4 linked regions of the Lytechinus pictus genome follow. The main gene of each other region encodes a partner of the protein of the gene in region 2 in a complex. Links are inferred from orthologs where the notes say so. Each region holds a gene or a part of one and is shown on either strand. Other genes may lie near its edges. The genes, in order: THO complex subunit 1-like, chromatin target of PRMT1 protein-like, THO complex subunit 7 homolog and THO complex subunit 2-like.

What was found.
Region 1: chromatin target of PRMT1 protein-like (region 2) and THO complex subunit 1-like share a complex: the UniProt entries of both Homo sapiens proteins name them as parts of the transcription/export (TREX) complex. The link is inferred for Lytechinus pictus from reciprocal best matches to the Homo sapiens genes CHTOP and THOC1.
Region 3: chromatin target of PRMT1 protein-like (region 2) and THO complex subunit 7 homolog share a complex: the UniProt entries of both Homo sapiens proteins name them as parts of the transcription/export (TREX) complex. The link is inferred for Lytechinus pictus from reciprocal best matches to the Homo sapiens genes CHTOP and THOC7.
Region 4: chromatin target of PRMT1 protein-like (region 2) and THO complex subunit 2-like share a complex: the UniProt entries of both Homo sapiens proteins name them as parts of the transcription/export (TREX) complex. The link is inferred for Lytechinus pictus from reciprocal best matches to the Homo sapiens genes CHTOP and THOC2.

The regions. Positions count from the first base shown.
Region 1 is NC_087261.1:24,315,187-24,322,927, forward strand, and holds the start of THO complex subunit 1-like, read right to left. Parts: upstream 3,007-7,741; 5' UTR 2,754-3,006; coding exon 2,700-2,753; intron 8-2,699; coding exon 1-7. Other genes in the region: uncharacterized protein LOC129279903, read left to right, coding at 3,086-3,142. UniProt on the Homo sapiens protein: Component of the THO subcomplex of the TREX complex which is thought to couple mRNA transcription, processing and nuclear export, and which specifically associates with spliced mRNA and not with unspliced pre-mRNA.
Region 2 is NC_087247.1:25,760,128-25,767,055, forward strand, and holds the start of chromatin target of PRMT1 protein-like, read right to left. Parts: upstream 3,012-6,928; 5' UTR 2,587-3,011; intron 1-2,586. UniProt on the Homo sapiens protein: Plays an important role in the ligand-dependent activation of estrogen receptor target genes. May play a role in the silencing of fetal globin genes.
Region 3 is NC_087247.1:45,236,486-45,243,868, forward strand, and holds the start of THO complex subunit 7 homolog, read right to left. Parts: upstream 3,007-7,383; 5' UTR 1,561-3,006; intron 1-1,560. UniProt on the Homo sapiens protein: Component of the THO subcomplex of the TREX complex which is thought to couple mRNA transcription, processing and nuclear export, and which specifically associates with spliced mRNA and not with unspliced pre-mRNA.
Region 4 is NW_026974140.1:1,412,908-1,420,856, reverse strand, and holds the start of THO complex subunit 2-like, read left to right. Parts: upstream 1-4,945; 5' UTR 4,946-5,030; coding exon 5,031-5,095; intron 5,096-7,949. UniProt on the Homo sapiens protein: Component of the THO subcomplex of the TREX complex which is thought to couple mRNA transcription, processing and nuclear export, and which specifically associates with spliced mRNA and not with unspliced pre-mRNA.

The sequences.
Region 1 (7,741 bases), on a different chromosome or scaffold from region 2:
AACTCGACTACAACAAAAAAGAAAAGTTATTAAAAAAGCATTAAAAAAAAAATAGGGGTCTAGCATGAAATAAAAAATGAAGAATGAATTTTTTTTCAAACTTATAACAGTTTTCTTTACATATAACAGTAGTACAGCTACAGATAAGAAGATAACCACATAATGAAATATAACAAGAATTAGACTACTATCAAATATTATACTTCATTTTCAATGAATGTGGCCATAAAAAAATTGTTGTCACCTCCAATCCCAAGGCAAACTGACATTTGACAAATTCAAAGAGACTGTTCTCTAATGTATGGTGTCTTTTCTATCATGTAGCTTTGTGAAATAGATTTCAGTCTGCTGAAAATAATTGAGCCGCCTACAGCTAGAGGCATAAAACACTCCTGACAATGACAAGAGCCTGAACAAAAAGGGGGGAACAAAAGTAAAAAGTATCAAAAGACGACAAAAGCTATATAAAAAAAAAGTACAAAGACAGTCATGACTGTAGACCTCTACTAGAACTCTTGGGGGGGGGGGGGGTGTTTCACAAGATTTAGCATGACTTAGACTTAGAGTCGCACTTAAATGCCTAGTTGCGTGCGGTATAAAAGGCATAACCACATTGGTCAGATCATGCAAAGAGGAGGTGCACTACTGCTTATTGATCAATTACTGAATTAGATTGCGCGCGTTTAATTTAGATACGTGTTTGCATTTAAGTAGATCCTACTTGCAATTGTTAAACATCCCCTACATGTACTACTTACTGCTACTGCTTAGTGTGTCATGTGTGCATATTAATGCAGTGTTGGTATGTTACTATGTAGTCACAATGCAGGAGGCTCCTGGAGAGTAAAAATCTTTCTACTAACGTAGGCTTACTCTGCACGGAGCCAGGGATTGCGTCCCATTCATGCGCGTGTACCGCAAAAAAAAATAAAACTTTCGCCCCAGAAATTTCTACTTTCTTTCTAAAAGATCTAGCCCTAAATCATGTAAATGAGATACAACTTCAGTCTTCATTTCCGACATTTCTACGATATTGATTTCATTTTTAAACAAGTATTCATTAAAAATCAAGAAAAATATTATGAAAAGACTGGGAAAACTTGCCACCGATATCGCGATATGCGTGCTGTCATCTTGGCGAATGACAAAGAAAACAAGATGGCCACGTAAACACGGTGGCAAGTTTTCCCCGTCTTTTCATAATATTTTTCTAGTTTTTTTAATGAATTCTTGTTTAAAAATGAAATCAATATCCTACTCGTAGAAATGTCGGAAATGAAGTTGGACTTGTATCTCATTTACAATACATGATTTAGGGCTAGATTTAATCGTGTAGAGTTTTAGAAAGTGCAGATCCCTCCATCTAGGTCATCAGAATACCCATCATCAGTATCATCTAGATGGAGATGTGCTGGAGGAAGTTTCGGAGGAAAGAGACTTGGGAGTCATTATGGACTCTCAACTGAAATTCCATTCCCAAGTAGCCAACGCAGTCTTGAAAGCTAATCGTGTGCTTGCTATGATTCGACACACTTTCTTGCATAGAGACAAAGAAAACATCAAAAGGTTGTACAAGTCACTCGTGAGACCAATTCTTGAATATGCGAATGGAATATGGTACCCAAGATATGCTTCTGACTTGAAGGCTATTGAGAAAGTCCAGCGACGAGCGACCAAGCTAGTACCAGCCCTGAAAGAAATGGACTATGGTAGAAGACTGCGTGAAATGAAATTACCCTCCATCAAGTACAGACTGCGCAGAGGTGACATGATACAAACCTATAAAATAATTCAGGGCATTGATGATGTGAATAGAGACCTATTCTTCACAACAGCTACCACTCAAGCAACGCGTGGCCACCCTTACAAGCTATTTTTGAAAAGGAGTAGACTGGCAGTGAGACAAAACACCTTCAGTGTTAGAGTGGTTAATGACTGGAACTCTTTGCCTACTGAGGTAGTCACAGCATCAACAATCAATGGCTTCAAGACAAAGTTAGACAAGTTCTGGTCTGCGTGGCATTAATTATGTTCACGCATGGGAATAGTGCCTTTTTCATTTCAATACATTGGCACAGCACATTGCACAAATAGCAGACTCAGTTTTTCGAACTTATCCAAGCTAGGAAGACAACAAGATAGACCTGGAAACTTGACTGCAGGAACAACTTTATTTTTCCAGTAGATGCGGTATAAAGGTATAAAGTAAAAAACTCTGCTGCAGTCAATGACGATGTGCAGTCTAGTCTGACTCTGGAGACTGGACTGGGGCGAAGCCAAGCAAAGGCCAAAGCCAGGCCCAAGGTTTAATTTTTTTTGCGGTAGGCCTAGGCCTACGACGTTACGTATTACACGCGCATGAATGGGACCCAATCCCTGCTGCTCCTAAGAGAGTAAGCCTACGTTAGAAAAAGGATTTTTTACTCTCCAGGAGCCTCCTGGCTACACGGATATGGCAATAGCCAACAGACAAGTCGGGAAATTAAAGATTTAAACACAACAAATTTTACAATATATGGGACAGCACACAGTGACACTCGCAGACATGACACTCAGAATTTAACAATGGATTTAACAAGATGAAATAAGCTTAAAATGATACAGAGCCAAACTAAAATTTTGATCCAAATGTACAAGAATCAAAACATGAATGATTTTATAGAATAAATAAATGTTTAGATGGTCAGAAAACATCTTACCAAGTATTTTACCCTCGAGGCTTCAAAATCAAACTGTGACTCGGAGGCCGCCATGATTAATTTTATTAGTTTCAGCTTAGGATTTTTGTATTTAAAATAAACGAAGTAAAACAGAATTAAAGAGACCAAATTACCAAAATAATTACCGCCTTTTCGTTGATTTTAAAGAATAAAAACAATCGTTGTTATGAATGTCAGGAATCGGTGTAAAAGATATGAAAATAGAAAATATCTAGTCCCGAGTCAACGATTATGTAATTAAAAGTCTTTTATTAAGACTATTTTATTCATTTCGCAAATTGTCAACACGCTGACTGTCGCGCACTGGCTGTGCATAGACCATAGTTGTGGAAAGGATTTGATTTTTAACATTCTTCCTTACAAGTATGGATTCCAAACTGGCTGCAAAAGTAAGCGGCAACACATCGAATATCAAGTTCGAGGTAAATTTACGTAAAGAGAGCCCAGTCAGCGCCAGGCTGGGCGCTGCACTGGACCCATGACATGCCATGATCCCTCTGGCATGTCTGGCTCTGGCTCTACCGCCCCAGCCCGGCCCTAGCCCAGGGCCAGGCTAGGGCCTAGCTTGACCCGGGGCGGTAGCGCGGTAGCGCGCGCTGGGTGTCCATTGACAGTGTAGGATAGCGAGAGCCTAACTTAGAAAGAAAGAAAGAAAGAAAGAAAAAAAAGAAAGAAAGAAAAAAAAAGAAAGGAAGGAAGGAAGGAAAGAATCAGCCGCCGTGAATGAGTGAAAGAATGAGTAAATCAGTAACTAATGAATCATGAGACATGAGACATGAGTGAAACGAAAGGTGAACATGAATGAATTAAAAAAAATGTCAATCATGAGACATGAGTGAAACGAAAGGTGAACATGATGAATGAAAAAAAAAATGTCAATATTTTTTATTTTGCGTCCTAGCTTGTAGGTCTAGCTTAAATAGAAATTTTGTCCTTTACGTCATATGTCATCCCCTAAAAAAATTAGACTCAATATTGTATGCCACTGGACCCCCCCCCCCCCCCTCCCGAAAAAAAACCTGCAGCACAGCAGAGAGCAATATTTTTGTTAGTCATCCTTCCAACTAATGCAGGGACTCGGTTTTATAATTATAAGGGGAGCAATAAAAAGCTCTCCTAGAACTTTTAAGGAGAGCGGTAGAGGAGCACTTCAAAAAGCTCTTCTTCAACATACAAGGGGAGCTTTTTGCCCAATTAACAAAATGGATGGAGGAAATGTATGTACTATAAAATTACAATCAACAACCAAAGGAAGTATTTATAATTGTTTTACAATGTATTGTAATTAGATTGTGTGTTGTAAAACCTGTTTTAGTTAGGTTTTGACTTTGGCTAAAAGTTAAGTCAAAACTTTTTTTTTTTTTTTTCGGGGGCTCCATTTTAATTTTTTTGTCAAATTTCGGGGGCTCTTTTTAAATGCTACTTTTTTGTATTTTGAGGAATACCTGTTCACTTATTAAGGAATTATTACTTTTTGTTTAATATTGTATGATTTTTAAAGTTATTTATCATGTTTAGAATCTTGGATGTGGGTGTGTGTGGATGGGTGGGTGTGTGTGGGTGTGTGCGTGTGTGTGTGACTGTGAGTTGGACTTGGATATAAATGAATTCAATATCTAATTTCTACTCCATTTATTCCAGTACAATACCCTAGTCGTACAGTACATGTAATAAAGGCCCATCACATACCCTAACTTTTCCTGAAGTTCTTTGAAAACGCAGATCTCCATGAAAATTTAATTTCTCTATGGGGGAGTCTAAATTTGGTGAGAATGTATTCATTAAGAACTTAAATATACATGACAATGAAGAAATCATCAAACTTTATTGGCAGTTTTGAATAATATTCCTGAAATGTAAACTCTGTCTGAAACAGAAAATCACCATCATTGAGGCCTTTACTGAGCGAATTGTCCCCCAGAGCTCTGGCAGAGAGACAGAGCTCCAACTGGCTAGCTAGTAAAAGCGCCAATGCGTGAGCCTGCCGCCGTCCTTGTAAAAAAGATGGAGCTTTGTTTGATGATTTATTGTCTGATATAATACCTCATCCCCTAGAAAAAGAAAACAAATGATTTTTTAGTTATAATTGATAAATTAGATAACTTATTTTGGAAGTTAATAAGCCGTTATGAAAAGCAAAGCCGAATGACAACTCACCAATGCTAGGTTACTAGACTCTGGGATTTATTTCCTGTGTAATTCGAATTATTTTATCACAGAATTGTGATATCTGTAGGGGAAACATGTGCATTCGAAATGGCACACGGTGGTAGTCATAATGGACCCCTATACATGCAACTCTTTCCCGACCGATGCGTTGATTTTTTTTTCCATACCTGGTACCATGTGTATGGAAATACGTGGTACAGAAAAAATAACGCAACTTCGGAATTTGAAACTGCGCTACTCGCTACTTTTAAGGCTTATTCGTGATTTTGAGTGTGGATTTTGGATGGTTTTTAAATGGTAAGCGGAGCTCGAGCATATGGCACTAGTGGGCCGTTGAGTTGTTATCACTCTGCAATAATTTCGGGGGCGACATTCAGATTTTATGTCGCCCCCGAAAGCATGATTTTGGGTGATTTCGAGGGCGACTTTAGGCATTTTCGCGCAGGTCAGCTATCGCGAGGCGCGCTATTAATCGCGCTACCAAAAATGGATTAAGGCGCGCATGTAGCGCGCGATCGCTCTCGCGCGCCTTAAAATCGAGTCCCTGTAATGATTGAACACCAATTGAGATTTGAGACCTGTGATCTCCCACATGGGAGCCTCTACCTTTGAGTTCTCAACACTAAGTGTCTACCGAGGAGACTACTAGGGCGTGAAACAGGCCCAAAACGAACAACAACAAGCCTCTACTGTTCAGAGTTCCTGTCGAGGAAGGCAACCTTGCCCAGATTTGGGTCATGTCTAAGTTACTTAGCCATAAATTATACCATGCTTCTTCTTCTTCTTTGTTGTTCTTCCCCCGGTATTCGAGGATCAGCGGCTATCCGCAGGTTGGTTGTTGTGTTGAAGCAATTTCTCTAAGCGAATATGATGAATTTTAAGAATGTATCTGAGGCAGTGGGTCATGACATTGGCAGCAAGAGTGACAGATAGGTGCGAGGAGGGTAATAAGATATTAGTGGCAAGGATGAGGGGATGAGCAGAGGTGAAGGCTAATTGGCTAACAAGCAGGGAGGCTTAGAGATGGGACATGTTGAATGAGAACAGACCGTTGGGGTTTGAGAGTTGGGCAGGAAGCAAGGAAGTGGGTGGAGCTTTCTTCCTCCGTTGAGCAAAGTCTACAGGTGGCGCTGGGAGACTTGCCTATGGTCTTCAGTCTTTGTTGTGTTAGGTAGGTGCCTGTCAGAAGTTGGGAGCGAAGTCTTGCAGCAATACGGAGGTGTGAAGGTAGTGCAGGGGGGAATATACTGCTAGGGCTTGGAAACGTTGAACATTGCTTCCAGAAGGCAAGAGTGTGCTTCTCCTGAGTGGCATCAACTAGGCCAGCATTGTGCTTCTTGAAGATGGCCTGGCGGCACAGTCTTTTCCAGGTGAGGTAGTCGAAGCTCAGGGAGCCAGACAGGATGGCAGGCAAGCTGTATTTGGCGATTAGCTGCTTCCAGTAGGAGATGAAAGGGACATCGGCAGCGAGAGCATTTAGAAGTATTCTGTGCTCAAACCTATCGCTTGGTAAAGTAACCAGTTGCCCGAGAGTCATCAAGGTGTTCAGGTCGATCTGCATATAGAGAGAGGGATGATTCCGGTAAGGAGAAAGACTGCCTCGTTTGCTGTGCTTCTGGGGAGCCCTAGGAACTTTTTGAAGAGAAGGGCCTGCGCTGAGTCTAGCTTATCCCTGGACCTCTTGCTAACTCTAATGGCAGCAATGCCATATAGCATCCTAGGAATGCAGTAGGTGGTCCACAACTTGGCAATGGTTGGAGGCCAGAAGTTGTTTCTTGAAGCCGAACCACCTAGCAGAGCGAATATGGAGTTATATCCCTTGGCAATGATGTTCGGCGCAGGATCTTGAGATGTTGAAGATTTGGTGACACCAAGATGGGGATGCTGACTGACTTCTTGAACTTCCTCTTCATTCAGGTACCAAGTGTGCTTGAGGTGGTCTTGCCCATTAAAGACGAGGATTGCACTTTTTGATGGGTTGATCTTGTACTTCCATGTGGTTGCATAGGTATGGATGAGATTCAGCATGCATTGAAGTTCTTTGGCTGAGGAAGCTATGAGGGCCACATCATCAGCTAGAACAATTACCCCAGCATACAGGTTTTGGCAGTGGCATCCAAGATCTTTGTATCTTAGCAGCTTAATCAGGCCATCAATAAAGATGTTGTAGAGAAGAGGGGAGAGGATTCCTCCTTGTCTCACACCCTTCTGAAGAGGAAAGGAGCAGCTGGCATCTCCTTTCCATAGTACTCTGCTGGATGCACCATTGTACATTTCCACCAATGTAGACTGAGCTTCCAGTGGTATAGGAGTGTCAGCTAGCTTTTGAAAGAGGCCAGGGTGCCAGACACAATCAAAAGCTTTAGCAGCATCCAAGAGGGCAAGATATGTTGGCTTCTTCCGAGATGTATTCAGCACAATAAGCATCTCAAGGGTCAGTGAAGCGAGAATACAGGACTTTGAGGCTTGGAATCCAAACTGAAGTTCGTCAGGTGTGTTGACTTCAACCAAGGAGTCCTCAATCTTAGGTTTTAGGGCAATTTCCAAGAGCTTTGATAGAGTTGGGGTCAGGGAGATGCCTCTGTAGCTAGAGGGTTCGCTGACCGGTTTGCTCCCTCCTTTGTGCAGTGGGATGATCACTGCTTCCTTCAATGATGCTGGAAGATGTGCCAGTTTGATGGAGTTTTGGAGGAGAAGGAGAAGAAGGCGACGGAAAATTGGACCTGAATGAACCAGATGCTCAGAAGTTATGTTGTCGAGGCCTGGGGCTTTGTGAAGCTTGAGTTTCCTAATGGCTGTGTCAAGATCATGCGAGTTGAGAGTAAGCAAGACTTCTTCTGCACCTTCTGATT
Region 2 (6,928 bases):
TGGAGTACCACGAACACATTTTCGTGCAATGGTCATGCAGCTTTTATTGTGCCTATTGTATTTTGAGGAGTGCAGTGCATGCATGAGTGATTCCATTGTTCAGTTCAGCTTATGGTCAAGAGGTTTAACATTGTCTCAGGAGTGATTCCCCTTTTTTTTTAATAAATAAAACAATTAAATATAGACTCTTTGAAAAAAATGGCACTCGCTGATTACAGTGAATGGCACATTAAGAGTTAAAGGGCAAGTACATCCCAACCAAAATTTGACTGGAATAAAAAAAAAAGTAATATCAAACATGCTTCATTTTATTACAATATTGCTTCCATTGACGAGTGGATACCATGCGCGACCAAGGGGTCTTGAAAAGCACCCTAAACAAGTATTTTTCATATTCTGCAAATGCACCCCTTATAGTATTGGTATGTGAAACCCTACCTTTAACAAGTATTGGAAACAAAACGATACCCTTGTCAAGCATTCCCTGAATTGAACCCCTAAAGTACAGCGATATTTCAATTGTTAAATCACGTCGGTTTTACCTTTACCTACATGTACATCATTGGGTTTAGTGTGGCCCCACCTCCCACACCTCGTGCAAATCAGGCTCTTAACACGTAGCGTTGACTGTTTGGGCAAAAAGTACATCGCTTATAAAACATTTGTCTTGTTTATACCCTTGCAAATTTGACCCTAAACACGTAGCTTTTCTAGCGATATAGATAGGCCTACCCTTTTTTCATTATTTTAGTGTTTTTGACACCCTTATTGCGTTATGTACATGTATGTAACGTGCCCTATCTTGAAAAAGACATCCTTTTCATGGGTTATTTTGGTCTATTGAATTTGTGTTCATAAGGGTACTATTAGAGACGCAAAAGATGTCTTCTTTTTATTTAAATTTGATGAGATATCTAAAACTTGCTCCCCCTCCCTAGGGAGCGCGCTCTTTAGAGACGGCTCACGATCGTGCAGCAGCTGCCATTAGGGGGATTAACAATGCAAAATCCCCCCCCCCCCCGACGGGGCTCATCGAATTTTGTCTTTATTTCATAAAAATATATAATAAGAACTGGACCAAAATAAAGATTATTAATCCGTTTTGGCCTGAAATGCACCAAAACTGGAAAAAGTAAACTTAAAAGGACAAAAACAGTGATTTACTTCGGCTGTCGCGCAACTCCCACTTCCTTGGTTTGTCTGAACTTGATACATAAACATATGGCCATTGAGTCCCTGTACAGATCGAGTTAGAACTTCGGTCTCTGTATTTGGTGAATGGAGCCAATGGAGTTCAGCGATTTGCGTGCTGTCGCCAAGTGAAAGACAATGAAATCAAGATGGCGACCTAAACACGGTGGCAAGTTTTTCCTGACTTTTCATAACATTTTTCTTGTTTTTTAATGAATTCTTGTTTAAAAATGAAATCAATATCGTAGAAATGTCGGAAATGAAGTTGTATCCCATGTACATGATTTAGGGCTAGATATCTTAGAAGGAAAAAAGAAATCTCGGGGGCGAAAGTTGGAGGTTTTTTGGCGGTGCGTGAAGATGAATGCAATCAAATCCCTGGCTTCGGTGAGAGTAAGCATACCGTACGGTACGTTAGTAAATGATTTTTACTCTCTAGAACTTAGCCTCCTGGGTAAATGGGCTATGTACGAAGAGAAATTTAAAAAAACTCCTCGAAACTGACGGCTGCCTGCTGTCTACTATACAGTGCGTATTAAAAAAAACGGAACACTTTTTGAAAAGTCTATAAAAAATTGTTTCAAATTATGATATCTATATTTTTATGTTAATAAATGCTCTGAAATCTTATCTTTGAAATGCCATTTAAATTAATAAATTTTGTTCACGCTTGAGCGAACATGGGACGTTTTTGTCGGGGGTTCAAAAAGAGGCTTGCGCCAGAAATGAGAAATTTGCATTAGCCAATAAATATTCATTAGCTAATGCAAGTATTTAGCAATTCACGATATTCATCAGCCGATGGATTTTTTTTTTTTTAATTGGCACTGCTCATGATATCGTCGCCCGATCTTATACGCGTCTTGTAACTAGGCTACGAACAAAGAAGGAAAATGGCGACAAGATCATCAGTGAGTATCTGCTCATCTTCTTCTTACATAATTTTTCTTAATATTTCTAATATTTATCGTTTTTAAGTAGGGCCTAGGCCTATAATATAAATAAATGTACGTAATGGGGGGATTTGAACTTGTTGTCCATGTACATACAGACATAAGTGTGTGGCTAGCAAGTTAAACAAATCAAGTATTTTGGAGCAACATTGTTTTCTCCAAAAACTCTCCTTCGTGTGGCCCAATGCCTTCCGTGGCAGGCGTCATTGGGAGTAGGCCTACCGGTAAGCCTACGTCTACGTAGTAAATAATTTTTACTCCCAAGACGCCTCCAGGCTAACCGTACACGAACACCATCGCTCAGACTCTCAGTTGATCTATTCATGACCGTACAAAATACATAATACTTCCATTCGGTTTTGATCCTTCTATCAACTAATTAAATGAAATATAAATGTGTTACATCCCAGTGAGGTTAGAAAGTTAATATGTCGGTACATACCGTAATTTACGGGCAAAAAAAGACTTCAAAATTGGCTTGATGGTTGATCTGTGTGTCGTTAGCGTCGTCGGCGTATTACGTACGTGCGGAAATCCTTGCAAATCGGCCACGAAGTTTGCGGCTGCATATCACTGATCTCTCCGTGCTGCATATTAACCCAGGGAGACTCCCAGCTCGATATACTCAACAAAAATGTAAGCCACCCTTAATCAAACTGCTGTAACTTTTGAATGGAATAATTTGAATATATAATATTTACATGAGATCTTATACACGCGTTGAGTGAATCCAGTGAAAAAAATTAGATTGATCGGTTCAGTCTTGCATAATTATGACAGACCATTTTCAAAAGTCCACAATTTTTCGGAAATTTGTTTATATGGTGACTGAATATGGTGCTTCATGATGCTCTTTTACTATCCATTACTATTCCACAGTGAAAATGAAATCCATATGTTCATTTTCAACAAAATTTTGCACAGTTACTTCAGCATCTAAATATTCTGAATAAACATAAAAAGAGTTCATCATTTGCCCAATCTTCTGTTCTCGAGAATGCCGTTCAAAGGCTTTATGTATTTTTAGATTGAGTTTAAAGGGATGGTCCGGGCTGAAAGTATTTATAACTTAATAAATAGAGTAGAATTCACGGAGCAAAATGCCGAAAATTCCATCAAAATTGGATAACAAATAACAAAGTTATTGAATTCTAAAGTTTAGCAATATTTTGTGAAAACAGTCGTCATGAATATTCATTAGGTGGGCTGATGATGTCACATCCCCACTTGTTATTTTGTATTGAGGTGGGATTCGAACACAAGACCCTCTGATTAGGGTCGGAACAGCTACACCACGGAGCTTTTAACAAAGTATTATAAAAGAAATTAAACGAAAACTAGAAGACCGGGTTCAAATGTTAAAAATAGTTGCCTGAACAACACATTCCCTGTTTTCATGAAAACTATCCACATATACTTAGAATATCAATATGTTGTATTCATTTAAATTAATCATAGAATGGAATGGTTGGAACCTGTGGAACTGTCATTATTTGGCCCATATCTCTCCGCATCGCTTGCTAAAATTGTTCCTTAAATGCGTCATTCTGCGTCGTGAATTAAATTACCATTACAATGATGGTATGTCCCGATCATTTTGAAAGTGCGCCTTAATCATTAAGTTATATATGAAAATAGGTTTATTCATTTTTTTTCCTCCAAGAACTAGAAAAATTGGATTGACAACTAATTACTGGCGTACCTATAGGATTTTCCAGAAGGGGGGGCAAATTTTTGGAGGATATTTCGTCCGCGAAAAAATTTGACAAGCAAAAAAAAAAAAAGGTCTTCCTTCCAAAAAAAAGGGTTTCTTACCAAAAAAATATTTGACAAGCAAAAAAAAAAAAAAAAAAAAGAAGGTCTTCCACCAAAAAAAAAGGGTTTCTTACCAGAAAAATATCTGACAAGCAAAAAAAAAAAAAAAAAAAAATAGCAAAAAGGTCTTCAGGTTAAAAAAAGGAGTACACGTCTGTTTTTATTGCATTTTTACATTAAAATTAATTAATTTGGCTTCTCAAAGGGGGGGGGGGGCTCGTCTGTCTGTATCAGTTGTGACTTGTCAGGGGGGCAGGGATACGTCCCCTGCATGAGTTGTGACTCGTCAGGGGGGCAGTCTGCCCCCCCCTTAGGTATACCGTCTAGTGCAACTGATTTAGTGCATTATATATTTATTGCTGCAACTTATTTCATTATAAATTAAGGGAGACATTACACAAGTATGAAATAATGACAAAAATAATTATTATAACATAAGAAAACGGAAAGTGGGGATGTGACATCATCAGCCCACCTAATGAATATTCATGACGACTGTTTTCACAAAATATTGCTAAATTTTTAACTTCAATAACTTTATTATTTGTTGTCCGATTTTTATGAAATTTTCGTCATTTTGCTTAGTGAATCCTATTCTAATAATATTTATGTACTAAGATATAAATATTTCAGCCCGGACACTCCCTATAAGCATCTTCATGTATTACTCAGTAAAAATTAATGTAAATTTCATCAAATTTCACAGTATCATTCAGAATTGAATCATATCGCTATTCGTTATAGCCCTCTCGAGGCGGGGGGGGGGGGGTAGGGGGACAGCCTGCCCGGCCTGGCGCCATTTCTTTCGCGGGGGAAAAAAATGGCGTAGGGGGCGGGTCACTGAACTGGAAATACGTATTTTCAGTTCAGGGGGGCGGGTGCCACAGACGATGGAAAATAAAATGAAATTTAAAAGGAGAAAAGAAACGAAATGAATTAATGAAATACGATATGTTATTTGCTGAATATATTAATGTAAAAATCACATATTTTTAGGATTTGTTTTCAAATCGGAATTTTTTTCTGGCTCACTGGCGACTTTTTACAATTTTGTTACAGTGGCTGTGCCCCATTAAAAAGAATATGTGGTTCATTACGCAACTGCTTTTCAATTAATGTGTTCATGTAAAAGCTCACCCCGCGATTTGATTAAAATTTCTTTTCAAAAGAACTATGGCTCGCTTCGCTCGCCGCTGGCGACTTTAAAAAAAAAAAAAATTTGCTATGTTGTGCCCCCTTGAAGTATTATTACGCAACTGCTTTCAATAACTAGGTCATGGTTAATGTGTTGTGTTAAAGCTATATACCCTGATTTGATTAAAAATAGCGGCCATGCATGTTTATAAGGTTTTAGAATGCACTGCAAAAACTCCGGTGTGATTTAATTAACACCAGCCCGGAATAGTATATGTCCACATGCACCAGAGAAGTGTTAAACAACACCAGTTTCGTTTTGGTCTAACACCAGAAAGATACGTGTTTATACAACACCAATTAGTATTAAAACAGCATCAGTTTGATTCTAAACCGTTGTTTCAATACTTCACTGGTGTGGACATATCCCGGGACATATATAGATTCCGGGCTGGTGTTAAATCAACACCGGAGTTTTTGCAGTGTGGGTTCCGGGGGCCCGTCGGGGGCCCGTGATCCGCATAATAGCACTACCAGATTCAGGGTTTGGGCCACTGACGGTCACCAATATAGTTAGGCCTATATAACTAAGAACAACAACAACAACAAAAAAGGATCAAAGAAAGATAAGCAAGTAACTTAAATGGAAGACTAGGCCTATTTTCTGAATAAGGTGTAAAAATCTATCTCAACCTTAGATTCCGTCATGAAAAAGTGATTTGTTTATTCGCTCGCTCGATCGGGACTTAAGCAGCTTTTTTTTTTGCCACACGCCGTATCGCCGGGGCATGTGCCCCCCCCCCCCCTCTCTCTCTTTTTACTCATCACGTTACCGTACTGCGGCATAGAAATTGCCCTAAATATGGCCCAAATCAGGCTCCGCACAATACAAAAAAATCCTGTTGAAAGTGGCGAACAGGTGGAGATAAGATATATTTTCTGATTATGTCAAAATCTATTGATGTTGGTAATAAAATTGTCGAAATGTTTGCTTGCTTCGCTTTATCGTAACTTAAAGCTGTGATTTTTTTGTCTTCTATGCCAATTTTGCAGTATATAATATACGCCACTGTCTGTTCATACAATTCGGATACAATTACAACCGAGAAATGTTTGACGACCCTTTTTACGCCCCTGAGGCTAGCAGTACCTCCAGTTACTCTATAAAATGGTGCCAAACGATCACAAAAAACCTATCTCAGGCTCAGCCCCTTTTCATTCTGGATGGTATAGTATTATAATGTAGACTGTCAGGATAGCGCTAGAGCGCGAGCGAAAATTGTACGGCTGAGTTTTTCGAGGACGAAGCGGAACTACAACAGACGTAGGCCTACGTATGTACGTCGTGGTGGTGGGAATCCGGCAGCAAGCGGTACCGAGATCGCCGGGCTGGCCAGGGGGACGGGGGCGCGCCGCGCCCGTACGCTACGGTCAAAGTGTATCTTTGCTACGGTACGCTGGCGCGGCGATCCTGGGGGCGCAGACGCGACCTCAGATGCATCAGAGCTGGCGCTGTACTGTGATACCGTATATGTGTACAGCTAGCTAGCTGTGTAGAATACTGAAGTGAAGAGAGTTGTTTGTTATCCCATTACCGTTGCGTTGTGATCGCTTGCCGATATAACTTGACCAGTTTTGCATAAATTTAGACGACTGGAGTGAGGTGACCTTGGATGTGACGCACACAAGTTTTGCCATCCAGCTCGGGATCATTCAACCTCAAGAATTAGGTATAGATTGATAGGCCTAGGCCTAAATCTATATTTTCTCCACTCTGAATTATTATTATTATTAACACTAACACTTACTTACTAATAATAGTATACCCAGTTGTT
Region 3 (7,383 bases), about 19 Mb from region 2:
AATCGGAGCAATTGTTGCCGGAGCAAATGTCATGGAACCATCAGATTATCCCCCGCTTACCGGGACTTCCCCTTGGAATCTGTGTGTGTTGGATTGTTCCAGTCATTTAAAATTTTGATTTAAACTTCCTGTAGCTTTTTGTGATCAAGTCAATCTCTTTAACATTCCTGTGAAGCACATGTGTGATAAATAGGGACGTTTGTTGAACCCTAGGACTACGGTAGGCTATTTGAGATGTATTGAGGACTGGGGGGGGGGGTATCATCTTGGCTGCCATTCATGTGATTGTGCTGAAATTCTTTACCACATTAACTACAAGCCAGTACAAACAAAATTTCCAAAATTAATTATTTATTATTTATTATGGACAAAATATGCATATATATTAATGAAAAACATTATTTGTATATTTAACATCCAATTTCACCTCAAATTTTCTTTTGTTCCCAGATGTCATCTGTGTAATCTTATCTAAAGGATTCTACAAAAAATTGCAACTGTCAAATTTTTCCTTATGTATCTCTTTGTTTTTAGAATTTCTAAAGTATTTCCCTTTTTTTTTTTTTTTTTTCAGTGGAAATTATTAAAAACCATTTAACAACTAAATTAAACCCTAAATTAATCAAGCAGATCAATCAGAATAAAAAAAATCACCCTTTTATGAATTTCATCTCCCATAGACTTTGTACATGAAGTATAAAAATGAGCCATTTTCGGCATAATCATTGTCTGATAGCCCCCCCCCCCCTCCCTGTCCTTTTAGGGTTAATCTCATCTCATTTTTATTGGTCTTTCTTTTGCCATTTTGTAACTTTGGATTCTGAAACCAATCTCTTAATCATTGACATGTGCTTAGAGTATTGAAGCTAGCCTGTGTAAAAATATTGTTCATTTTGACAATGGAGCTATAATTTGTGCAGTGCCCTTGAAAGTTTGATCAGTTTCTTTTGGAACCCAGTTTATATATAAATTCATAATAAGGCAATAGTCTTTGATTTAATCACGATTAGGAATTGTTTTCATTCATACATGAACAAATAGTGGCAACATTACGATATTTTGCATTTATTTTGTCAACCTTCTAAGATCATGATTTGATCATTCAAATTTTCGATAGATGAAGTATCCTTTTTCATTTGATACACATTTCTTATCATTTAAACTGAGTTTGTTCATTCTGACATGAATTGAAAAGGAAATACTATGAATCCTTTATCAATTGAAGGCTTTATGTCCTCAATAAAAAAAAAATAAAAAAACCTGAATGAACAGGCCAGCATCATTTGAGCATTACAGGGTATGCTTCAGTGATCACAGAAAGGTACAGTAATGACATTTATTCACTTGATTGACCATACCCATTCATGCAAAGATGGAAATGATTCCTAATGTTAATTAAATAAGAGGCTATAAATTTCTCGTTGACATACCATCTAGTTGGTTCTTTCATTCCATACAGAACTAAACCAAAATTTTGTTAGAATAGATTACTTAATATATTATGGGGTTCAAATGATTTTGCAAGGAACAGTATGCCACAATCATCAACAGAAAACTAACCATTCTTCATTGCTCTGATCCGTGTGACACCATTTCACAAAGGTTTTGAGTAGATTACTGATTCTTCTATCATCACCTCCACTCTCTCCTTCAATAAGCAGCCTTTTTCGTATCACTTCCTCTGTAAGTATGAAAAAAAAAAGGATATTCAATTATCATTCACCTGAATACTAGTAAAATTGAATTTTTATACATAACGAATAATAATACTTAGGCCTCATCCCCAGCAAAAGATGAGATTTATCAAATTTAATTTAAACTTTGATTTCAACCCTAATTTTGTCAGAACCAGAACTTTTTTTGGGGGGGCTTGTTAAATTGTTTTCTGAACAAAAATTGTCCCCCTCCCCCTTTGGAAAATCCTAGGTAAAGTGAACAAATATTGAACAGTGCCAAATATCAGACAAAGATGACTTCAAAACATTCTAAACAGCTAAAATTAGAGGCACACCGCATATATTGGAGACTTTCTCCAATATGGGAGACAATCTGTCCTATTGGGGATAAAAGAAACAACACCAACAAGGCAGTTATTCCCTTCCAAAAGTTTGTCTTGCTGACATTAAAATCCCATTTAATTTGTGTGTAAAGAATCTATTGCAGATAAAAATAAAACTGTTTGTAAAATAAAATTGATGTAAATTTTATAGTAGATGGTGAAGAGGAGTAAATTTCACGAGGAATTTGCACATCACAGGTTTGTTTGCCAGCAAGGCAATCCCTAGACAGCTGGCAGCCGGCTGTTTCGAGGATTTTAAAAACATTCATTATTTTTTAAATTTCTACACAGATGGCTCGCGATCGTGCAGCTACCATTTGAAGGTTAACAATGTAAAATCCCTCCAACGGGGCTCATCAATTTCTGTCTTAATTTCATAAAAATATATAAATAGAACTTGACCAAAATAAAGATTATTATTCCATTTTGGCCTGAAATGCACCAAAACAGGAAAAAATAAACTTAAAACGAAAAAAAAAACAATGACTAATACTTCGGCTGTCACGCAACTTCCACTTCCCTTGGTTATTCGAACTGAATACATAAAAATATGGCCATTGAGTCCCTGTGCAGATCGAGTTAGAACTTCGGTCTCTGTAATTGGTGAGTGGAGCCAACGGAGTTCAGCGGAACAACCAATATAATACAGACAGAAGCTTTTGGTCTAGGTAATCCCTAGAGCTGCCTCATATAATGTAAACAAAAAAAAATGGTCTCCCAAAGTGGAGACATTCTCTGAAATTGGATACCAAAATCATCTACAAAATCGATGCAAAGCGTTACACGAAGTCGGCAAAGTGAGAAAAGTGAAAAAACTACCCCTTCTTATCAAGAAGCTCTTATTGATATAATGGGAAGAATTATTCAGGAAGGATTTTGCAAAATTTTTTCCCTCCAACCGCGAGGGTGGAAGCAGGGTAGAATCACAACTCCAACCCATCTGAGCCTCGACAGATGATGATGATGATCCAACGCATTTATATTGCGCCATATTTCTTTTAAAAGCATTCAAACAGGTAGGTGCAGGCTCATCCAATTAAGCTAATTATTACACATCTGCTGAAATAAGTGAGTTTTGAGAGACAATTTGAAGAGCTCAATGTTGTCAATTTCACGGAGTGAAGAAAGGAGTTCCAGAGGCCTGGAGCAATAAATGAAATCCCATATCCCTTTACGACGTTCTGTTAAGATGCTACCAGTGTACAGTCTGGCTGAGATGCTTGAAATTGCACAATAAACTATTAAAATATGGTGATTATTTACCAACTAAAATGTAAGATAATTATTATTTGTTTAATAATAATTTCTCCACATTGTTCTACAAAATGGCTCCTCATAATGTAGCTCATCCTAGCTAGAGGTCTATGTCATAACGAAGCAAGTCAAAGGTCAAGCCTATTGGCTAATTTCAAGTTCGGTGTTGGTGTTGATGGCAATACAATACCATTCTCAGCTCAGGTGAGTGGTGACCAAAATTTTTCGAAAGAGAGTGATTGGAAGCTGATAAAAAGGGCAACATATCTTGGCAAAAATATTACATCTTTATTTGTAGGTATTTGTTTATTTTTGGTGGAGGTCTGATGCATTTTCAGAAAATATTGAGTATGATATGATTGAATTTATGAAAAGTTTTTGGTAATACGATCCAAAAATACCATACACTGTCACTGGCTTAATCTACCTCAAGTGATGTTCATGTAGGCTCCAGACTCCACTCCACTTCAATACAGCTACACTACACAGGTAGGTGTAGCGGTGGTGAAGTGGAGCCTACATTACAGTATGGCAGTGTATCCTACTGCCGGACACCTTTATTTCAGTGCTTTAAAAATGACAATTAGATTAGAGGAAATACAATCATGAAAATTTCGCACTTGCTATTCCAAATAGTATGAAAATTATGAATATGATAAAATTATTTTTATATTTACCAATCATTTTCTTTGCATCGCACTTGCCTCATACCCCTCCACGAAAAACAATTATTTTCGCATGTGACAAATTACATCATGATTGCGGACGCGAGCCGGATGGGTAAAGATATTCTTGATTATAATGATGTAAGGAAGAATTAGTGTGAATTTTTTCTTCATATATCATATCATGGGTATATTCTAAGTTTTTAGTTTGCTTTTTTTACATCGAATCTGAGCAGATATTGGTAATAAATTTGGGTTTGCTGACTAATTTTATTTTTTTTCTTTTTTAACTGCATGTTCCATGGCTACTATGCTTGTTCGTATCGTGACGCTAATCAAGATCTATCGATGCGCTGTCGATCGTTGACGGCTCTTATCACGTTATCACGGTAAACCTCGCGCAAGGGTATACCTTGAGTCGAGAACTAGCTAGCTAGCCGTCGATGATCACCCACAATACACCACACCTCAACATTCGATCGAAGGGGCGCGCAGACGAGATTTAAATTCGTCAAATCAGGCCCATATTTCCGTCAGAAAATATATCAATTGTTCATGCAAAACTATGTTATATGATATTTTAAGCATTTTCTGTCATTTTCTGTTTCTGTTTCTGTTTGTGGTAACTCTCGTAGGAACTCGGCAGGACAGCATTTTGCTGGTAAACGCCAAGCTGGCATATAACCAATTACCTATGAAACATTTTACGTCTAGGTTAATCAGTCATAGTGGCTGACGTTATAGACGACAGATATCACTCTCGGGCCTTTTTATCAAAGTGGAGACAATGGCAGAGTTGGGATTCGAACTCACAACCTTGCGATTATGACTCCAATGCTCTAACCACTGGACCACACAACCCGTACTTTATTTTAGAGATAAATAAGGTAAAAGTTGGATTTTTTTGCCTTGTTTTTGCAATCTTGTTCTATGTATTGCTCTGTGAAATAGAACTGTGCAATAGTTACAGTACAAAATTGTTTTCGTACGCAGTAATATGCGCGTCCATAATCATGATAGTGTCCTGTAATACAATACGCGACTATACACGAACATCAAGTTGAGGTCACTCACACTAGATCTCGTGGTTCATGTAGTGCAAGGTAAGTCACCTCGCACAAAGAGCCACAGTGGATTTCTAACTAGTGGGTCGCGTGTGCTGCGACGCCACTTCTGGCGTCCACAACACACGACTTCTATGGCTTGATTTTTCTGTGCGCGGCGGCACGTAATAAACCCCATGATCAAGCCTACCCCTGCGGAGCTGCATTGAGGCACTTGCTCACTGCAACCATCCTGCCTGTGGGGAATCTACAGGTAGGACTATGATATGCCAATGCAGAACACAACACGCACTTAAAAAAATCATGAAAATAACACTTTTGTGACCAAAAATACTAATTTCCATACAGTTGTAATCTATTTTTTTATTAGTAACTTGGGAATAATTTTTGTATTCACTAGAGCGCTCAAAAACTTGAATTTTGGGATTATTTTTGGTGGAAAGTTTTTTTGTTGGAAAGTAATATGGCAAGAAATTTTTCATTTTTCAATCTCTATTTTTAATTTAGAAAAAAGAATCAAATTTACTTAAGAGTCAAGTTATATGATTTTTTTCATTTATCCTCTTAATCGAGGCATTTATTCACATTTATTCACAATAACATGTACATATATATATATACAAAAAAAAAATCAATTCAATTCAATAATGCAATACTATTTTGAATATCACATTTTTTCAAAATTCAGATTTTTTTTCTTTGTTGATATAAACTTTCTAAATAAATAATCATAGTAAGCTTGAATTCAATCCATAAAGAATTTGCATATTTTTTTCCTTTGAATATGCTTTTTATATAATTTTGATAAATAACAAATTGAACAATAACACAAAATTATAGATTACACAAAACATAGCTGGAATTTTGCAGATCATAACCTATAATTAATGTTTTTCATCTATAGAAATAATAATCTTGAAAATATAAAATACCAATCTTTCTATAATTTTCCAAAATAATCTAACATATTTTCAATACAGTATAAAATGAAAAGTGGTATCAACTTCTCCAGAAACAAGTGGAATGCCTCTGGCCGTCTCACCTGCATCACGCGATTCAATATAGCAGCAGTGCTGATTTTGAAAACTACTATAACTCGCACAAGATGTTCAGTGATACTTGGTTACTTCTATTTCCACGTTTTATGAACTAGACCAATACACTTATAGAGATATGATGGCAATTCAACAAATACCCCCAACGTGGCCAAAGTTCTTTGACCTTACATGACCTTTGACCTTGATCATGTGACCTGAAACTCGCACAGGATGTTCAGTGATACTTGATTACTATTATGTCCAAGTTTTATGAACTAGACCGACACACTTTCAAATTTATGGCTGTAATTCAACAAATACCCCAATTTGGCCAAAGTTCATTGACCCTAAATGACCTTTGACCTTGATCATGTGACCTGAAACTTGCACAGGATGTTCAGTAATACTTGATTACTATTATGTCCAAGTTTCATGAATCAGATCCATAAACTTTCAAAGTTATGATGGTAATTCAACAGATACCCCCAATTCGGCCAAAGTTCATTGACCCTAAATGACCTTTGACCTTGGTCATGTGACGTGAAACTCATGCAGGATGTTCAGTGATACTTGATTAACCTTATGTATAAGTTTCATGAACTAGGTCTATATATTTTCTAAGTTATGATGACATTTCAAAAACTTAACCTTAGGTTAAAGGAGAATGAAACTCTTGGAGCAAGTTAGCTTTTGTGAAAGCAGAAAAATCAAAGAATGAGATCAACAAAAGTTTGAGTAAAATAGGACTAGCAATAACAGAGTTGTGAGCATTTCAATGTCGAGATCACTAATGCTATGGAGATCCTCCCATTGGCAATGCGACCAAGATCTGTGATGTCACACACGTACAACTCTCCCATTTGAACACTGAAAATATACCCCAAAACATCTCTTTTTGCTCATTCTAATCATATGACAAACGATTCATCAATGATATGATGTTGTGAAACCTCTGTACTTGTCATCTCATAAAGAGAAGTTCAAGTTCAAATCAAGTTCAAGTTCAAATTTATTCAAACCAATCAAGAACAAGAGACATATCACATTGTTTAACAAAAATGTGCCTAGACTCTATAAAAGTGAGAATATAAGTGAAATAAGTACTAAAGTAATGAGGGAGTTGTACGTGTGTGACAGCACAGATGTTGGTCGCATTGCCGATGGGAGGATCTACATGGCACTAGTGATCTCAATATTCAAATGCTCATAACTTTCTTATTATTCATTCAATCTTCCTCAAACTTTCAACAATATGTTTCTTTTATTTTTCTTTTTTATATGGATTCAGCTCGTTTCAAGGGTTT
Region 4 (7,949 bases), on a different chromosome or scaffold from region 2:
CACTAGTCGCTTTGTGGCTATTTTTCCGGAAAATGCCTTCGCCAGGGTGTAAAACGGAAACGCGCTCGCCGCATAATTCGATCCTCCGCGCATACAGTCGACAGATTGACAAAGAAAATATCGACAACAGATTACCCTGGAAATAACAAAGGTGTGAAATTAAGATAAATTCCCTATTTCTAAAAATTTTGGGGAATATGTCGAAATCTTTGAATTATGCCAGGTTGAATACTAGTACCCATACGGTATATAAGTGAGGAGAAGCGGGGGAGAAGCGTGGACCGGGTTCTGGAGACTGCGAGACGGCAGAACGCTACCCCGACAGAGCTCGGTTACGCCACAATACCATGACATGTACGATTATTTGTATTATGGATAATTATTTGTCTTTCGTGAACAGTGTTTTGTTAATATTGATTTGTAATATTTTACAATGTACCATTACTTTGAACTGAATGATTAATAAATATTATTACAAAAAAAAAAAGTCTATCGGACCCGCGGTCTATTTTCAGATCACAATATCAAAAATTTTCTGCTCGCATTATTAATGTAGAAAGATCCCCTATTACTCACCCTTTTCATGATTTACAAAACATGAGTATAGAGTGTCCCGTTTTTAGGTCTCAATCTTGAATTCTTCTGCTCAAGCATCAATTGTTTAGTTATACTTATATAGCTACCCTGTTCACGATTACAAAAATTGATTAAAAATTTCGATTCTTTTTGGCTCGCGATTCGTGCGTGCTAGCATATATTGATTGTTGAAATATGTAACGTCTTCATGGGTAAGTGCAAGCAGTCCTTAACAAGTACCTTTTCGATCGATTCAAATTAAACGTAAACTATATGAACGTTTTCTGGCTTCATTTCGCACTCGCATTATTAATGTAAGGACCGGGTGTAAGGAAGACCCCCAATTACTCATCCTTTTCATGATTTACAAAACATGAGTATAGAGTGTCCCGTTTTTAGGTCTCAATCTTGAATTCTTCTGCTCAAGCATCAATTGTTTAGTTATACTTATATAGCTACCCTGTTCACGATTACAAAAATTGATTAAAAATTTCGATTCTTTTTGGCTCGCGATTCGTGCGTGCTAGCATATATTGATTGTTGAAATATGTAACGTCTTCATGGGTAAGTGCAAGCAGTCCTTAACAAGTACCTTTTCGATCGATTCAAATTAAACGTAAACTATATGAACGTTTTCTGGCTTCATTTCGCACTCGCATTATTAATGTAAGGACCGGGTGTAAGGAAGACCCCCAATTACTCATCCTTTTCATGATTTACAAAACATGAGTATAGAGTGTCCCGTTTTTAGGTCTCAATCTTGAATTCTTCTGCTCAAGCATCAATTGTTTAGTTATACTTATATAGCTACCCTGTTCACGATTACAAAAATTGATTAAAAATTTCGATTCTTTTTGGCTCGCGATTCGTGCGTGCTAGCATATATTGATTGTTGAAATATGTAACGTCTTCATGGGTAAGTGCAAGCAGTCCTTAACAAGTACCTTTTCGATCGATTCAAATTAAACGTAAACTATATGAACGTTTTCTGGCTTCATTTCGCACTCGCATTAAGGACCGGGTGTAAGGAAGACCCCCAATTACTCATCCTTTTCATGATTTACAAAACATGAATAGAGCTCTCGTTCTTAGGTCTAAATCTCAAAATTTTCCGCTCGCGCTTCGCGTTCGCATCAATTGTTTAGTTATATACCTATTATATGTTTAAGTTACAAAAAGTGCTTAGAATTTCCAGTCTTTGGGTAAATTTTTTTAAAAAATTCAGCTCGCGCTCGCATTATTTTGATTGTTGAAATATGTAACGTCTTCATGGCCATATGGAAAACTAGCGGACAGAAGGTCCTCGCTGCACGCGCGCACCCTTATAACACGCAGAATTCCCTTGCATCATACCCTTTTTTCACAAACAAATGTGTATCAAGGACAAGCTTTGATTCAGATAGAATTTCCGCCCCCCTGAAATGAATGTTAACAACTTCTTCTATCAGATGACCATAATTTGTTTACATTCAGTTGGTGGGAAATATGGCACTTTATTACATTAAAATCACTCAAAACCATCCATAGTCAGGAATATGTATTGGGATAATGGGTTAGGGGGACATTTTTATAGTACCCGGGTGGATTACATCCGTCGTCACATCGGTGGGTGATGATATCAAGAATTTCCGCCCAGATTATAATAAAGGGCACATTGTAAGGCAAATACTCATGAAAGAACCATGGAGATTGGTTAATAAGGAAATAGAGCACTTTTATCATCAAATCAGAGGAGATTTTCTTTGTGATAGTGATGTCCGAAGAGCAAACCTACACTCGACGTCAGTGGCGTACCGTGGGTCATGGCATTGGGGGGGGCACTAGCAAAAATATTGAGTCACTTAGTGAGTGCGCGAAGCGCGCTCAGTTGCTAGGTATGCTGACCTAATAGAGACATTTAAAGGACAGTGTCATTAAACAGATATGTATGTCACTGGTCACATAATGCGAGCGCGAAGCGCGAGCTGAAAATTTTTGATATTCAGACCTAAAAAGGGACATTATAAGCAAATTTTTGTAATCATGATATGTACCTGTCTCGCTAAACAAACAATGCGAGCGCGAAGCGCGAACTGAAATTTTTATACATTGACCCCAAACGGACATTTTAGGGACTATATTTTAGGAATCTATTAAGAGTATACATATCTCACCATATAGTAATCTAATGCGAGTGCCAAGCACTTGCTGATTTTGTTAGAATTTTATGCATCCAAACACATAAATCACTTGTAGTCATTGTAATCATGACTAACATGCGCATCTCACTAATCAAATATTGCGAGCGCGAGCTGAAAATTTAGGAAATTCAGACCTGAAGAGGGTCATTTTAAGGCTTGTTTGTAGGAATTCACGAAGACCATACGTATTTCACTAACCAAATGAAGCGAGCGCGAAGCGCGAGCTGAATTTTTTTATATATTGACCCCAAACATGGATATTTTAAGGTCTATTTTTAAAAAGAATCCATTAAGAGTACATATATCTCACCATAGTCTTCTAATGCGGGTGCCAAGCGCATGCTGCATGATTTTGTTAGAATTACACCTAAAGACATACTTTTTGTAGTCATGATTATCATACGCATCTCACTAGTCAAATATTGCGAGCGCGAAGCGCGAGCTGAAAAATTAGGAAATTCACACCTGAAGAGGGGCATTCTAAGGCTTGTTTGTAGGAATTCACGTAGACCATGCGTATTTCACTAACCAAATGAAGCGAGCGCAAGCTGAAATTTTTGATATTCAGATCAGAAAAAGGGAAATTTTAAGGACTGATTTTAGGAATTCATGAAGAGCAGACATATCTCACTAATCCACTAATGCGAACATGAGCACGGACGGGAAATGTTTTATATTAAGACCTTAAAATGATATGTCACTACATAAAACAATTATAATTCGAAGTGCGAGGAAATATATTTGGTGAATTGACTTGAAAACGGGAGGTTTTAGTACAACAGGATTATATATCTCGTTAAACAGACGATGCGAGCATCAGGGACAATGAAGACATAGGCCCTGAGCAAATTATGTTTCATAAAGTTATGATATTTTTTTCATTTCTATTTAATATAACATGACATAATTATAATATAATATAACATAATTAACAATAATTTCTTCCTTCCCACTACGTTGCTCTCAGTTTCTCCCTCTTTTTCTCTTTTTCCCCGTTTTTTTTTTTTTTTTTTTTTGGGGGGGGCCAGCCGATTGGGGGGCACGTGCCCCCCATGCCCCCCGTAGTTACGCCACTGCTCGACGTGCATTCAACATATAGGGCTGGACAGAGATTTTTTGTACGTCGGTGTGTTGTTCGAGTCACAGCGGTTTTCTAGCTCTTTCCATTGCAGTGCTGAACATTTTATTAGGAATATATAAATATATATACCTTGTCAGTCCAAACTATGGATATAAATATATCCTAGCTTACCACTGCATAGGTAAGTCTAAAAAATAAGTTTTGTTTATTCCTGTCACTTTATAATGACGTTTTAAATCTTCAAACAACAATAATTTATGAAATTGACACAACAAATTACGCTGAAACATTATTTGTGTATACATTTTATCCCTCTGTAATGCTATATATTTCCCCCATAAAGCCGCAATGGAACATTCTGCACCACTAGTCATACGATGATCGCGAGGTCTGCAAACGTCGTCTGCTATGTTTTCACATGTCCGGTACACTATGCAAGTTTTCGATATGAACTGCAAGCAGTCTTTCATGTACCTTTTCCACCAGTTAACCTCTGCTCGCACTTTGCGTTCGTAGTAAATATTTACTTGCATATACATCTTTTTCAGGATAACAAACATTGCCCAGAATGTTCAAGTTTTAGGAAAAAATACATAAATTTGCCCAAAAAAATTATGCTCGCGCTTCGCGCTCGCATTATAAAAATAAGGACAATGATATTATATATCTATGTTGATTTATAAGAATAAAGCTAAAAAGTGACCATCGAGGACTACTCCTTCAATGAAACAGACAAAAATTACCTTCAAGCGGCCGATCGGGGATTAACATTTGGCTGAAAACATTTTTCGCCCCCCCCCCCTATTGGCGAAGGCTGGATCAGCCTCTGTTTTCCCCTCTACCTTTCGGGACAGATTTCCGCCCATGGTCTTCATAGCCTCCTCATAGTTATACATCCATAATAATTAAAATTAACTTTTAGAATTCGAGGAGTTAAATAATGTCAAGGAAGTCATGCTTTATTTCACGTCTATCCCCAATTTATATCACATCCTTTCCTACAATCCTACATCCTAATCCTCACGGAGAAATACAATTTCCCTGGCATCCCTTTTGTTTGCATCATTTCGGAGACGCAATACTCCATATTTGTTCTAGTCGCTATTATTGGTCGACAGTTTCAACGAGCCGCATACACACTTAGCTAGCTAGCTTTAGCTTTGTATCCGATATCCATACATTTAACATTTAACATGGCGCGTTACCTCATCAACGACGAAGTCTGTAAAAGTTGGGAGAAATGTGGCAGAAATGAGTTGTAAGTTGTCAATTAAATCAGACTTCAATTTATTTTTACACGAAATTTTTCATTTATACTCAGTCATAGGCTCTCCCATTCATATCTACTATGCCAGGCATAGTCTGGCGACAACAAATCATGGTCAATTCCACTCACGCTATTGTATGCGAGGACCGAACCTCGCACAATTCACAACCAACGACAACGTGTTTTTGTAGTGGATTTTCAGTCAGTCCGCAGCCCGTCCGAAAGTGCTCTATTTTATTCAGCGGTACCGGTATGCATAGCCGTCCGTGGTTATGCATACGTAATGAGCTGTGAAGACGAACTTTCCGATCGGTGTTTTTTGCTCTTAGAATCGTTTATTCCTCACATAATTGGTCTTATTTTATAGATAAAACTTTGAAATTTCTGATCAGCTAAATAAAATGCACATTTAATGTATTTTGAAGACCGATATTTAGCTTAGAAAAAATGATTTTTTTTCAAGAAATATATGTGAATAAACAGCGCATTTTTGCATCGAAATCACACTTGCGTCAAATTGATATTATATTCAATATAAAGCGTAGACATTCTTCTTTACGACTGAAAAAGAATTATGAAATTTCATGATGTAGCAAAGTCAGGAACCACAAAAAACCACGGCAATGTCCATCGCGAAATGATTGGAATTGTAGTAGAATTGCCGACGCGTTCTGATTGGTCAACAGCGGCGCACAGACTTACAACATTATATATAGCTTAAAAATCCTGGAAATAGTACGGAAGAGATCGATGGCGAATTGCGTGAGCTCTATGTTTTGACGTGTGCGCTATGTTTTGACGTGTGCAAGGACCCTGGTTCGAACCCGCCGGATTGTGTTTTTTTTTTTTTTTTTTTTTTTTGGGGGGGGGGGGGTTGATGGGGATATGTTTATGCTTTTTCTTTAAATCATATTCCTTCATCGTTCCTACCCAGCTTTATTCTCTTTTTACTTTCTTCTACTTCTTCTTAATCACTGCTTTTGATTTTCAAGTTCTTGATTACACCTATTTAGTATTTGGGCAGGGGTGGGAAGGGAAGTGAGTTAAAGGTCAAGTGCACATCAACTCATAAGTATTTGAATAAATACAGAAATTTCCCTGTTTTAACACAAAACAGTTATATACACAAAACAATGGTATGCAAATAGAGTTGATTATGTCACATCAAATTACTTTTTAAATTTTTGTTGCATTTTTATTATATAAATTTTAGCAAATTTGATGTAAAAAATCTTTCTCGAATCACAATAGGTTACGTTTATGGAAACTACGAATGTTAATGGAGGAATTAAAATCCCTCTCAAAATTTGTTAATGAAAATTAAAATAAAATATACATGTCATGTACATGTATCAAACAAAAAAATACACAAGAAATTAGAGTGCGTGTGACATAATCGGTTCTGTAATTTGCACATTGACCAAGATGAGCATATAATTGTTTTATAAAATTAGGCAAATTTCTCAATGTCAAAATAGTAATTTTTTGAATTTTGAATCATAGTTTTTATGAAATTCTCTGCAATACTTTATTTTTCTTTAAATTCAAATTAATTTTTTGGTGGGGTGGACTTCTAATTGTCTAAACATATGCAAATCAGTAATTCGACACATGCTCACTTTCCTTTCATCCAGGCCACTCCCTCACATCCAACAGGTTTACAGTCTTATAACAAAAATTATTAATTAATTATAATACCATCACACCATAGCTCCATGATCACACAACATTCATACAGTGCTTCACAACAAATATTTCACTTCTGTTCATATATGCAATAATTACTGTGGAAAACAAAAACAAGGCGTAACCACATTCAAATACCGTTTAAAAGGACAAATATATCATACCTTTCGAATAAAAAATTGTGAACATATATGGCACTTAACCTTCAGCACATTAGATAACATATAACACAGTTGCTTGAGAACAAAATATAATTATGGGGCATTGCAAGAAACTTATGTTCAATTGCAAATCAACTACATGTTTGTGTTTAATGAAAGGACATACCCTTAATTTTGGAATGTGTGATTGAGTAGAAAGTTTCTTGCAATGCATTAAAAATGTTCTTTCGTTTTGAATTGTGAATTTTTATTTATGTCAAGCTGTATTCCTGTCCAAGTCAGTATTCTTAGTCCTCCCCAAAACTGTGCTCTAATTTTTTTGTTTCCAATATCGATAAAGATCAATTTTCTGTTGTATCATTATCAGTCAAAAATTTGCAAACGAAAAAAGGGCTTTGTCCAAATCATGGTCTGACCTAAGCTTGTAACCGATTTTGCAATCGGCAACCGATTCCATTCGATTTCACCACAATCGGCAATCACTTGCCGATTTTCGATCATGCCCCTTGAAGGAAAAAATCGAAAAAAAAAATCGGCGTAGATCTGGTTACAGTGCGTGATCGCTCAGAACATATTTCAAGATTGTTTTTGAGGTGCTAGCTATTTAGAGGTCGCATTATTCAGGGAGAAAGACGCGGTATTATCTATGGCGATGTTTAAGAGGATAGATATCTTCTCCTCCAACTCATGGTGATAGCGGATGCCGCCGTGAACTTTGAAAGGTCGTATTACCGACGGAGCTCACTGCGTTACTCTCTTACATCGTTTATAATGATATAAATCTTCTCTTCAACCTCGTGGTGATAGCGGACCCCGCCATAAACTTTTAAAGACTGTACTATTGACGGAGCTTATTGCGTTACTCTCTTACATCGTTTATGATGATATGCATTTTATTTTCAACCTCGTGGTGATAGCGGATGCCGCCGTGAACTTTGAAAGGTCGTACTATTGACGGAGCTCATTGCGTTACTCTCTTACATCGTTTATGATGATTT